3 linked regions of the Oryzias latipes genome follow. Each later gene encodes a partner of the first gene's protein in a complex. Links are inferred from orthologs where the notes say so. Each region holds a gene or a part of one and is shown on either strand. Other genes may lie near its edges.

Region 1 (4,132 bases):
CAGTGTGTACAACACAAAAGACCAAAGGGCAGCCCATGTGTTGCCACCCTTGTTCAAGGTCTTATTTTTTTAAGGCAAACATGTTAAGAAGCATTACTTGCTCTTTAAAATGCAAAGGACACGTATTTAGGATAACCTCTGCAGCACTGAGATGTAGAATGTGAATGGATGATCTCACCCACATGATTCTGAACAACAAAGCTTGATGCCTGTAGTGGTCAGGCACATTGACTAAAGCTATAAATCCTAATTTCCTTTTCAGGAATCTACTCTTGTGCCATCTTTGAAAGTGTAACATGATGCTTGTAATGAAATTCCGTTAGAATGGAATTACGAGCAATAACACTGACCTTCTTCAGCTCATGAACCTCGTCCTTTAGAGCATAAACAGCGTCAACCAGACTCCTGCAGGTAACCAATAGAATGTCAACAACACATAATTGATTTGTTTTCATCCTCAAATGTAACCTTCAAAGAATTCTTTTTGAAAACCATTTTGTCCTTTTAAACAGAAGTAATCAAAATCAATCAACCAATTCTGAGAAATGTGTTCGTGCAACAATTAATTGTAACGAGTCACGACTTCCATACTTCTCCTCAGTAACCGTCTGCCCGTTGCTCTTCATTTCCTCCACAATGATTTTCTCTTCCTCCGGCAAAAGAACCTGAGGGACGCACTCTTTCCGCACTGTTGCACACACACAGAGCAACAGACAAAGCTTCAATTATGCTAGGAGCTGCTGCTAAAGGTGTGCAGTCTAAGTGGAGATCATGGTGATCCTCTGACCTGTGGCGGTCTGGAGGCTGACTCCTGTGCAGTAGGCCTCAATCACCCGAAGGATCTGAGCGTCCTCTTCCAGAGCAGCCATGCCTGTCGAGACCAGAGATGGACATCAGAAGAAGGCATGGCCTCTGGGTCATTCAGCACGTGTGGTTTACAACTCAGGGAAAGGAACTGTATTAATATCAACGTGTTCACAATGGCTGAGGAATTATTGGTGTCTGTACATCGTGAGGATTCATCATACTGTACTGCTGATGAAAACTGCACAGCACGTGACCCTGGTGGATGAAAATGCAGTGCAGCTCAGAGCACAATCATCAATTTGAACCCTGGGAATTGAACGAGGGTGTCAGCACCACAAAGCTTCAACCTCTTCCATTACCAATGAAGCTTTTCTGATGACCTAGACTTTGTCCTGGTCTGGGAGTCAGGTCAGATCAGAAAAGCAGCAAAAATAACAATTTCAGTTCCTTTTTTTATCTGCACTGCGAGATTCTTGCTTTTGATAAATCAACAACATTTTCTTCAAGTATTAATATGGACTAATAATTTAACAGTTTATGTGCTGCTGTAAATTATAATATGATATCAGTTAAAGTTATAGGGTGTTTTCATTGCATGGCTTCTGGCTGCACGGATGTACAGAAATGTGCAAACCTTTTAAGCAGATGTGGGAGAAAATGCTGTGGACGAAGAGTGCTTTTCAGAAAAGGAAGAATTAATCATTTATTTTTTTTAGTTGATCAATAAAACGCAATGAGAGAATCTGCTGTGGATGCAGGCTGTCTCTCCCACCCTTCTGTCTCCTGATGTAAATCCAGACACCATTCCACGATGTTGAGGCTAGAGTTCACGGAGACTGTGTCATCACTTCCAGAACTATTTGTTTTTCTTTCCGCTGAAGACAGTTCTTAATGACTTTTGGGGTTGTTCTGTTGCAGAATACATTCAGGGCCAGGCATGATGGAAATGCATGATTGATGAAGCATCTGCCTGTGTATCATTAATCCTGAACACATATCCATCTTTCTTTGCAGAAATGCAGCCCCAAATGTTCAAGGAACCTTCTTGTCCTTCAAAGTTGCTTGCAGACCTTCATGTTTCTTCTGCTATCCTCCCCTTTCACCAACAAACTGCTACTGCCATATTTTTCAGATTTTGACCCAATCGGTCCAGAACATCTGCTGGCATTTTTCTACAGCTCTATTCTTATGTTTTCCTGATTTCTTTACTCATTTGGCCTTGTTTCCATGTTGGAAATTCAGCTTTTTGGTGGCAGTTCTTTCATGAAGACACTTCTGGCCTAATTTCTCCCGGCATTAGAAGGATGTACCTGTGTTCTACTGGTTTTCTGCCAGTTTTGAGCTGATGGAATTGCTGGACATCTTCCAATTTTGAAGGGTAATTAGCTTGCTGTGTCTATCATCTGCTATACTAGGTTTGCCACGACATCTACGATCCTCATGCCGCCCGTTTCTTTGTGCCTCTTCAAAAGAGCTTGTGAAGTACATCTGGAAACCCCAGTTTGCTTTGAAATCTTTGTCTGGGAGAGACCTTGCTGATGCAGGAAAACTTACTTACCACGTATCATGTTGCTGTGCTCAATCTTGTCATGACATGAAACTGGCAGCAGAGTTTGCCTGTTCTTCACCCAGTTTTAAGCCTCCCACACAGCAGTTTCTGTTTCAATTTATGACTGGGTTTCAACCCACTGATGATAATTAGCATCTTTTTGGTATAATTAGCTCAAACACTAGACTATAATCTTACAAGATCCCTGATTTTGTGCAACTGTACCGCTCAGAGTTGATGCTGGTTGAAGGCAAAAGAAAAGAAAAATCAAATATGGATTGGATTTATATTTTTTTTACTTTTCTTTGCATTTTGTAAAATTATAAAAAATAGAAAGTGTCTTTGCATGTAATTTTCAAAGTATGTGAGGCCAGCCCTAATCTTAATGTCTTGGCCGCACAGACCCAGAGGAAGACGCCGTTTCTGCAGGAGATGAATCAAATGTGAAGAACACATTTCACGCACCTGGCTGACAGCTAATGGGACTTTAACTTTAAGTTTAATTTTAAATATGTGCAGCCAAAAACAAAATCCAGCCTTGGACACACTTAAAATTCATGCAGGCAATGCAGCAATGTGCATCTTGGCTGCACGTATAACGTGTGGCCAATATCAATATTTTGTGCTGGTCGCACGTAAATATGTGTGAATAACATCAGCCTAAAAATAAAACAAGCACTATTTATATTTCTGAAAACTTTGACTACAGCATTTTTTTTCATCTGCCTACAATTCCTGCACCTTACTGGTTCTTTCCCAAGGTGGTGTACACCAGTGTATCTGATGTCTAATGTTTCTTTGTATAGTATTTTTACACTTGAATGCTTTAATGATTCCCTTTGAAGAAATTAAATTTTATTTTATGTGGATATAACCAAAGAGAATATTTGAAAGATTTTGTTTCCATTTCCATATTTCAGCTTTCGATAATTCAATTAGGTTTTTTTTTTAATTCATAACAAATACACTGAAAACACTGAGGTGAAACTCTTACTTTTTCTCATCTGAAATTCATCATCAGATGGCTTGCGCTCTTTCTTCCTGTTGCCAGGTAGGAACTTCTTCATCGGCCGCGGGCTCTTGGAGTCCTGGAGGAGTACGGGAAAACAAACCGAGCTCACGTCTACAAACAGAAACGTTCAATGCAGCGCACAAATCTAAAAGCAGAGGCTCCACTCCAAACACAAGGCAAGCTTAAAGGGATGTACATCCAGTGTGAGCAAACATTCGAGACACAAGAACCTTCAACAAACAAGGTAGCAAGCAGGTGTGTGGCCTGACATCACTGTTAAGTGCAGCCTACCTAGCAGGGGATTACATATGTGAGACAATAATGGAGAAAACAAAAACACTTTCTCTTTAAAGCTATTATTCAAATTAACCACAGGTAATGGAGACACAAAGGTTAAACTTTTTTTTGACTCATTGGCCTTGTGGTAGAGTATCGGCCATGAGACTGGAAGGTGGTGAGTTCAAACCCAGGCCGAGTCTTACCAAAGACTAAAAATGGGACCCAATGCCTCCCTGCTTGACTTTCAGCATTAAGGGGTTGGATTGGGGGAGGTTAAACCACTAAATAGTTCCTGAGCGCAGCTGTGTCTGCAGCTCACCACTCCCCCAGGGGATGGGTCAAATGTGGAGGACAAATTTCACACACCTAGTTGCCTGACAGTTATTGGGAGTAACTGTCTCCTTTCAGCTCAGGCAGACTTTAAATTAAGTATTTCCTCTGCAGAACTAGGTGTGAAAAACAACTGGCACCAGCTAGAAATAAAA
Region 2 (4,829 bases), on another chromosome or scaffold:
CAACAACAACAAGATCAAATATTAAAGCTTACTTAATAATCCTAAAGTTTAAACATCTGTTTGAATAAAATGGGTAAAAAAACTGATAGAATAAAAGAAGTTCACAGAATTCTTCCAAGAACCAGATGTGGAAAACTAAAAACTGAAGTTTATGAAAGGACTTTGATCGCACAGATCAAACTACTACTGAAATGTAAAATAATGTAATTACAAAAAGGTTTAACTGTAAAAATAATATCTGGTTGTTATTACTTTATGTTGCAAGTGTGTTGTAAAATCCCGGTGTCTGAATCTCTTGTGAAGCAACAGTAACCCGGCAACCAAAACATTTGCCTCCCTGCAGCACCATCAGCGTCCAAAGGGAAAAGGATGAGGTGTAAACAGGTGTGTCCAAGTGTTTCTCTGCAACACTATTCTCCACATCCAAGCACATTTGCAGTGAGCTCTGCACCACTCACAGGAGCGAAACGTAAACATTTAAACCCTTTATTTGGAGAATTATATTTGGATCCTGATCGTTTTTGATGGTGACATTTCTCCTTCAGAGGGTGGGTTGTTCTTTTGCAGGACTTTCAAGATCAGAATTGGAATCTCCACCTTCAAAGCCAAACCTACACTAAAGGAGAAAAAGCGCAGAAACATTTTTCTCTCCAAACAAGTGGATAAACTAACAGAGTGAGACGGGACTGAAAACCAACCGACGGAAAAACAAACAAACAAAAAAAAACCACTTCGACTAACGTTTGCAGAGAAAAGCTTAGTTGCCAAGACGGATGTATCTTCACCTCAACTCAAGGAGCATTATCAGCTAATGTTTCCTGAGAAAACTGCTCTTCATTTTATCTTTTTGAAACTAAAGCTGACAGAAAGGAAGTAAGCGATGACAAAAGCCCCGAAGACTTGAGTGAAGCTACTGGAGAAGCAGACTATATTGGATCACCAACAAAACACTGCATCATGGCTTCCATACCTGCCAGGCTGCTGGGAAAACCAAAGCCCAAAGGAGAACAATCCACTTTGACTTTAACCTTGGCTATGCTAACTTTTCTCATCAGCAAACAAATGGGAAAGCAGTCGAATTCTTTGTTCATCGCTTTGATGAAACTTCTGCTCAGACTCCTCATTGATTATCTTGGTGGAAGTGCTGTCAGCTACTTTTTGAAGATCTAGTATGGCGCAATTTTTTTCTATTTGACCCATTTTTCCAGGAGGAAATTACAGGATTGAACAATCAGCAAACTAAAACAATTATAGCAGAAGAAGTTTGATGAATGAAACTTTGAACTCTTTTTGCTTTTTGACCCAAATGCGAAGGATAACTGTTGCAAAACCAGCTGGAAGCGCTTGTTTACGAGGCCGCTGTAGGCCATGAATGACAAAGTGTTCCTGCTTAATGCTTCAAGAAGTCACCATGAGTTCAAGCAAAAAGGAGAAGAGATGTTCCACCGAACACTGGGGAGGTGTTTATCCAGAATGTTCAGAGGTACTGTCAGAATTATTTGAGCATTTGTGAACAATAGATTGTTCACAAACTAGGTATGACAGCCACTTTTGACAGTTTGTGAATCCGCGGTGCACTACAATGACTTATACATTAAGGTGGGTTCACAAAGAATAAAGGAAATGGACAAAAAAGCTGCAAATAAAACGGCGTATTTAAAAAACAAGAGTTAACTTGAAAATTTCCATTTTACTTTGGCAAAAATGTCCTGGATTACTCAGTGAATTGTGCTTTATTCTAATTTTGTATCGACAATGTGGTCAGAAATTTTTACGACTTCCTATTTTCAACAAAAAATGTGATCTAAGCATTAAATCAGCATGTCTTCATCTCAACTCAAGACGTTTCACTCTATAATCATGTGGGCAGCCTCATCCTGGTTTTAATGAATACCTTGTAGCTTCAAAAGATCACTATTCCTTGAAATCTACTTAAATAGAACATCATTATAAAGCACTTTTGAATTAAATTAATGATTACAACTCTTCCATACTTTGATGAGGATTTTTATTCAAACCACTTACAGTTGCCATTCTTGTAGAGCAAGAAAGGATCCTGCAGTTGGAATTCCAGGTCTTTGTTAATAGGCTCCACAAGGTTGACTGTACTTAATCTGTTCATGATGGTGAAGCCATGATAAGGAGAAGCAGACCTAAAAGGAACAAACATCACTCTGTTGATAATGCTTCATTGTTTACTGTTGACAAAGCAATTAAAAAACACTTGAAAAAAACTTTTATGACAGTGAAATGTTGGATATTTCAAAATTGATAAAAACATTTCTAGTTTTTACAATTCTTTGTTTAAAGGTAAATATAATCTGGCAATTTTTAAAAACAAGTTTTATTGTTAATTTTCCTAATGATTTTCTAAAAAAGACAGAAAATAAATGCACATGACTTGATTTAAAAATTTCTGAGGCAAAAAAAAGTCAGTTATATTAAATCATAAATGTACAGTTTTCTTGGCAAATTGTTTGATGAGCAAAATTCATTTTTTGTACTGTAAACATAAAAATCTAGGCTGGGGCAAGTTTTCTCGATTTGTTTACAAATACGCCTACGGTGGCCTGTGCACATGCGCAGAGCACCCAATGATGAAGTAAACAATCAAATTACGAGTTCAAGTGCTAATCTTACCTGGCATAAACAAACAGAGTGCCTTCGATGTCGGTCTTCTCCTAAAATGTTTAAAATAACATTACAAGTCAAAACATGTTCTGAAAAGGTGCTGCCGAATCTGTGAACAATAGTTTAACTAAAGGAAATACATTTAAAAATACAAAAATTGAAAGGACTAGAAATAGCATTAGCTAAAATAACGAAGCATAAAGGTCCACGTACGGTAAAGCTTTAGTGAACATAGTGCTACTGTCGCGTTTTGATTAACGAGGGCTAGCACCATGAGCTAAGTAAACATGATGATAAAGCCTCATTCGAATCACAGAAAATCATAAAGTAACTAATGAACTTACCCACTCGTTTACTTTAGAATTAAAGTTGTAAAGTGCAACTTGACCAGTTACATCTAGTAATTTGTTTATATAGGGGTCTTGTCTTTGAAGAGCTGCTAAGCTCATCATATGTCCCGCACTTACAGTTTCCATCTTGGATCGGTCTGTTGTACCTACACGGACGAATTTTTTTGAAACACTTTCAACTTCGCTTGTCCCCGGAAGTGGCGGCGCTCAAAAATAGTTCCCCACTTCCACTATTTTTTTTTAAAGCTCAACTTTATTGCACATTATGCCATTTTACAAAAATGTACTTTTAGGTATGAAAAAAAAACCACAACTGCAAATATCAAATACACTTCTGTAACAAACAGAAGAACAAGACTAGAAATAGTTATAAGCCAGGGGGTTAAACTCTACGAAAAAATACTGAATCTATCACATACAGACAATGTTCTGATTGCTTTTTGCTTCTCTGAATTTCGAATACTGTTGATATACTGATTTAATTTAGAAAAGAATACAGTGAAACAGGGTTTTCTACCTGAAAATGTACATTTATGAACATGGAATTTTGCCAAAATGAGTAAAAGATTTAGAAGTAAACAAGAGTCCTTTTGCATATTTTTTTATATTAGACCCAACAAGACATCTTTCCAAAACAAGACAAAACAAGAATCAATTTTATCATTAATAAAATCACACATCTTCTGCCAAAACACCTTAACTTTGGGACAATACCAAAAAAGATGGATAACTGTTTCAGGGGAATCACAACCAAAGCTACAAAGTGTCTCAATGTTTAATTTAAATCTGTTCTGGATAAACGTTTTAGTTAGAATTATTTTGATTTGGACCTAATTTCATAAGTTTTGTTAAAACAATCTATAACGATACGAACAGTGTAGTTATTTCACCGAATGGCATTTCTCCCAGATTTTTAATTAACAAAAGAATTAAACAAGGCTGTCCAATTTTCACCGTTGCTTTTTATAACAGCAACAGAAATGTTATCAATACTTATAACAAACTCTGGTTTCTGTAAACTCAATGTCCTGGGAGAACAGTTAGCCATTACTAAGCTGGCAGACGACACGGCCGTATTCATGAAGGAGAGTCATCAAATACCGGAGATCTTTCAAACCGCAGATTCCTATTCTAAAGCAACTGGTTTAAAACTAAATCTCAGCAAGTGTGAATTGTAAGTAAATTTAAACATGTGGTCACAGCGTGACATTTCTATTCTGGGCAGAATGTTTCTCACTAAATTAGATTGTTTATCCAGATTCATTTATCCAGCATATTCACTCCCAATTCCTAAATCTGCAAGGAAAACAAGAAACCAGGGCAATTTTAACTTCATCTGGAAAAACAAAACTCATTACATAAAAAATGAATAATAATTCAGGATTACAGTGAAGGTGGATTTAAAGCCATAGACTTTGAAAGTTTGAATAGTATGATTAAAATAAATTGGCTTAGGGCTTTTCTGCAAAATGAAATAAATATTTTGTTTCATATTCCTTCAAACTTTTTCTCCCATCTGGGGGGCATTGAATTCCTCCTAAAATGTGATTTTGATGTAAGAATGCAGTCTATCCGTGCAAAGAACTACTACGTATACATTTTGGTTTTCCAGAAAATAACTGTTCTTTCTGTGACATAAATATAGAAACACTTGATCATCTGTTTTTGGAATGTATATATGTTAACAATTTTTGGGAGGATTTTTTTTCTTGGTGCTCCTCAAAGTTTCCCTTTCCTATTTCTATTCAATTACAAAAGCGCATCATATTATTTGGAATGGTTTCTGGTGATAATCTATTTTATTTGACATTCAATACTTTATTAATATCTGGGAAATGTTTAATTCAC
Region 3 (4,735 bases), on another chromosome or scaffold:
TGAGCCATCAGATCAGCATTCATGCTTTAATAAATTCTTGGTTGGTCATTTTTTTGGGCTGAAATTAAAAAAACCATCCTAATCGTACACCAATCTTCACTTACAAAACATTTTAAAAAAATATATAGGCCAAACCAGGTTAATAGATAATGAATAGAGAATTCATTTTCATTGATGTGAACTAAAACAAGGTCAGGGAACTCGGATGCCCTCTGAGCACAATCCACAAGAAGAAGATCACCACAGGATACAGCGTGGAATGAGGAAGATGATGAAGACTGCAGAAAATGTATTGAAAGCTGCTTTCATGCAGAGTGGAAGGAGCTCCACCTGTAAACGTCTCCTCCTCTACCTCCTTATGCAGAACTTCAGCGCCACCCGAGATCAAACCAAAACTATCTGGCCTATCTTTTTGGTGCCGCGCTCCAAAGCGCTTCCTAACTTCTCCTTTTATCTGACGTCACATCAGTAAAGTGGATTACAAGCTTAAAAACGGAGTCGCGCCTTTCATCCCCATCCAGCCAGACAGCTTGTTTCAGAGAGCCGGAGTCGGGGTTGGTCTAGACGCCGTGCAGCTCAGCCGCCGCCGCAGCCTTGCAGGCAAACAGTCTATCCATTATTCAGCTGCTGGCAGCCTTTTCGGCCGCTCAACTGCCAGTCTCTCTATTCATGCCAGTGTGGTGTTTGAACGCCCACCCGGCAAAGACAAATATCTGCGATGGGGAAGATTTGATTTCACGGTTTCTGGTATTCAGAGGTCTTTAAAGCAGCCGGAGCAGCGTGGTGACTCCACAAACACCGACGACTCTGTGTTTGATTAGTCATCATCTGGCTGTAGCTCTTGGGGAATCATGAGACTGAAAACAGAGAAGCCTATGTGTCAGGAATCCAACCTCACTACCTGCACCTTAAAAGCTCCAAGCTGGAGCGACGTTTCGTTTAGCGTACTAACCCTCCAAACTAGCTTTAGTGTCCTTTTTCTTTTAAAGACCCACTACGATCAAAAATTGTGCTTTTAACATGTTCTTGAGGTACTTTTTTGGACAATAGAGCGTATTGATAAAGTACATTAGGCTTAAAAATTGCATTTCTGAGTATTTGTGATGTAGAAAAATCACGCTGGGGGCGCCACAAACTCCCTGCTTCAAGTCCTCAGCAACAGAGAGGGGGAGAGGGGGCGGGCTTGCCGCCTCCACTTGCTGACATTAGTGAATTTTTGTTTCGTAGAACAGGAGAACATTCCAAATAGTATTTACAGCGTCCGTTTCTTAATTTCTGAGACGAGAGTGGCTCATTGCACATTTCACTGTATTCCATAAAACAAATGTTTACGAGTAAGTAGGTAAAGTCCTTCTATCTTCTTTTCATTAGACAACTCCAAAAAAAAAAAAAAAGTCACATTGCATCTTTCACTCTTGCCGTATCCATGGCAACCCGTTTTGTTGGTCCACATCTCTACACGACTCAGATCCCAAACAAACTGCCCCGTGGTTAAAAATAACTTCCATAACAGGTGAGACGCAGCAGACGCGGAAAACACACGTGCGCGCGGCCGCGTCCACGTGAACTCCACCGTCCTGGCCTCCGTGGAGAGACGCCCGGCCGAAACCGCAGGGGCCAAATGGGTCATTAACCCCCGCCCGCCTTCGCCGCCCTCTGTCCTGCTGTCACAAGGTGTCAAAGTGACAAATGGAGGGGAGGGCATTCCCCATGCAAGCCAATGAGCCTCTCCTTTTGCCACACCCAGGTTTCCATGGTAACCGCTTCCATAAATGTCTATTTTAGTCTACAAAAAAATTAGGACATAAAAGTTGGAAGAGATTTGCATTTATGCACATGGCTGATGTTTAATATTATTACAAAAAACACTTTTTTTAATACAGTAAAGTGGTTTGTTGTGTAAAAAGTCATTATGTTTTCCCCATTTTCAGGAATACGATAAAAAAAAATAATTATGTAACTTAAGTTTTGGTGTCTTTTTTGTTTTGTTCCATGAAGTTACTATGAATCTTCACTAACATGGGATTTGGACCACTCAACCACAGCAAACACAAAAAGAGAAATAAACAGAGAGCTCTCAGTGATGGGAAGGGTGGGCGGGGTTTTAGGCGACACAAGTTTTGTTTTTTGTTGGGTTTTTTTGCTAAAAATATCACAATCATGAGGGTTTTTTTTAACTGTTGGGAATGCTTTGAAAATAGCTGAACAGATGATGGGAGGGGGGACTTGACTTGAATACGGCAAAGTAGAGCTGCACTCATATCCACATAGATTGCTTTGGCATAAGCTGTTGGTGGACGCAGCTGAAAACCTCAGGATGAAGAACAGTGCAGCGGTTTCTGCTGATCCACGTGGAAACTCCAGCTTCTGAGCGTTTCTAGCAGCTTGCAGGGCTCTAATCAGAAAAGTCACGTTTACAGAAATCAATGATTGTACTGCAGGTGATGGGAAAACAGCTATAAGGGGGTTTGATGCATCAACTTTGACCAAACATTTAGTAGATTTCTGTGCTGAGCAGCTAAAGTAAGATTAAAATGCAAATAAAGAAAAGAAAATTGAGACACTTTTTTTCTTAAATGCATGTATGAACTGGTAAACAGGTTCAATTCCCTGAGAGAAAAGTGGCAGATCTTCATTCATTCTGCCTGCTGTGCTGCTATCATTTCCCACGTCGTCCAGTCATTTGGGAAGCAGCTGGTTTAATAAAATAATAATCAACCCGCCAACGCCTATGGCTGGAAAATCCTGACTATAAAAGTCCACCAAGCAGCGCACGTTGATGGGGGTTATGTTGAGGGGGAAACAAAGATAACAGCGTCTTTCCAGCACATTTCCCACCAGCTCCCTCCTTCATCCACACACGCAGCGCACCACCATGCTGGCCGGCAACGCAGCCCATCAGCTGGGAAAACCTGCTGAAATAAAGTAGGGAAAAAAAGCTCCGCTCACCAAATGTCTGACAGCAAATTCAAATGTCGTTGCTGTCGGTTTGAGTGTTTTTCCTCCGCCGGCTCACAGCGTCTCATGTATTCCGAAAAGTCCTGCTCCTCCGGAGGCTCAGACCTGCTCCGCTCTGCCGCCCTCGCCTGATTTTTTTTTTAGCTATAAAACTTGCCGAGCCCAGGCTATTGTTAGCCAAGCGCAGAGAAGTCTGCTGCATACAAAGTCCCGCCTCCTCACCGGAGCGTTCGGCCACGCCATTGGTTGGTCGTCCACACTGCCTCATTTCTATTGGCTGACAAAGATGTCCGTCTAAACTCTCGGGGCGGGTCCCGACTCGCCGGCAAAACCGAACGACCTATGCTGCATTCACGTAACAAATAAAAAGTGCGCATTTGTAGACACTCACGTATGGGTTGTCCCTGCGTGTTGCCTTCATGTAACCATGTTATGGAAATATTAACTACAGAAAAAAAGGATATTTCAAACACACAGCGGTGACGTCGTTATTTAGATGAGCTTCACAGTGAGAGAGAACTCTCCTTTAAAATAATTTATTTTAGATTATTAAGTCAATAAGAAAGAAACAGATATAATTTTTAAAACTCAGATGACATAATTTTTTAATGAAATTGCTCGTCCGTAAGGTGAGGAGTGAACATTTCTCTCAAAAAAACATTAAAGAACAGAAAACAATCCTTTTTTCCTATAGAAAGTAACAAATGTGTACATTCAATAAATTGAGTTTATATTCCAAGTAAAAATAATGTATATAATGTATGTAAAATACATTTCATTAACATTTTAATGCAATTTCAGGTTTTGAATGCCTATCTAAACATTTGGATTCTTGACATTGATTCCGTCAAGTGGACCAATGAAACCTTGTTCAACGTTTTAACCAAGGTGAGGATTGCTAAGTTTGCCACTTTTGTAAATGTCTTCTGTTACAGATGTGTACTTTGTTGTACTCTTAGAAAGCCTTGAGCTTTTTATACAAGTACTACTTGTTGGTAATTGATCTTTGTATGTAATATCCCCTTTTGTGGAATCAATAAGGTTTTGTTCTATTCTTCTATAACATAAAGGGAGGTCATATTTTGTTGATTTCAATTGCATTTATTTTAAAATCTTCAATTAACTTCCACGTTTGACTCAAAGTGCTACACAAAAAAATAGAAAGAAAAAAATCAGACAGAGCTTTATTATAATGACTTTTAGGTTACATGTCATCCTATACATGTTTTTTTTTTTTCTGTGATGACTATGTCGTTTTTAACCAATTTAAAACCGCCAATTCAAACTTTGATTTTATCAACATTAAGTGTATTTGACAAGTGACTGTTTTGATGCAAAAATCCCAGTTTTTTAAAAAATAAATTAGTTTAGTTCCACCTCAGATTGAATATTTGTTTTAAACTGTTGAAGATGTCACACTGAATGTCAAGGTAATAAAGGAAAAGCTGAGGTTTTGGTGACACCCAGTGGTCTGTATTTCACATTGATCATGATTGCATCATCATTCATGTAACTGAAAGTCACTCAAAGCTCTTTTTATTATGACGTGAGAATCAGAAGACAATGCATTGTTTTATCCCTTGTGCTATCTTAGATGACCCCACCCTTACTTTGACGTGTTCTCCCTACCATGACAAAGGTGGATAAAGGTGGAAAGATTTCATGTAATCCATGGACACCAGTGAAGATCACAAATCATTGAAGAAAAAAGGTTCAGCGCACTGTCTAGTGGGTCTAGATGACCCAACTCCCAACGTTAAAGACCCTAGGATAGCAC

The links. Proteins that work in one complex are often made in the same cells at the same time.
Region 2: arhgef6 (region 1) and dcp1a share a complex: the UniProt entries of both Homo sapiens proteins name them as parts of the cytoplasmic complex. The link is inferred for Oryzias latipes from reciprocal best matches to the Homo sapiens genes ARHGEF6 and DCP1A.
Region 3: arhgef6 (region 1) and pak1 share a complex: the UniProt entries of both Homo sapiens proteins name them as parts of the cytoplasmic complex. The link is inferred for Oryzias latipes from reciprocal best matches to the Homo sapiens genes ARHGEF6 and PAK1.

The regions. Positions count from the first base shown.
Region 1 is NC_019868.2:11,027,015-11,031,146, reverse strand, and holds part of arhgef6 (rho guanine nucleotide exchange factor 6), read right to left. Parts: intron 3,445-4,132; coding exon 3,351-3,444; intron 872-3,350; coding exon 788-871; intron 689-787; coding exon 592-688; intron 406-591; coding exon 351-405; intron 1-350. UniProt on the Homo sapiens protein: Acts as a RAC1 guanine nucleotide exchange factor (GEF).
Region 2 is NC_019865.2:7,301,554-7,306,382, reverse strand, and holds the start of dcp1a (mRNA-decapping enzyme 1A), read right to left. Parts: upstream 3,147-4,829; 5' UTR 3,108-3,146; coding exon 2,976-3,107; intron 2,682-2,975; coding exon 2,641-2,681; intron 2,154-2,640; coding exon 2,026-2,153; intron 1-2,025. UniProt on the Homo sapiens protein: Necessary for the degradation of mRNAs, both in normal mRNA turnover and in nonsense-mediated mRNA decay. Removes the 7-methyl guanine cap structure from mRNA molecules, yielding a 5'-phosphorylated mRNA fragment and 7m-GDP.
Region 3 is NC_019871.2:4,498,628-4,503,362, reverse strand, and holds the start of pak1 (serine/threonine-protein kinase PAK 1), read right to left. Parts: upstream 3,147-4,735; 5' UTR 2,950-3,146; intron 1-2,949. UniProt on the Homo sapiens protein: Protein kinase involved in intracellular signaling pathways downstream of integrins and receptor-type kinases that plays an important role in cytoskeleton dynamics, in cell adhesion, migration, proliferation, apoptosis, mitosis, and in vesicle-mediated transport processes.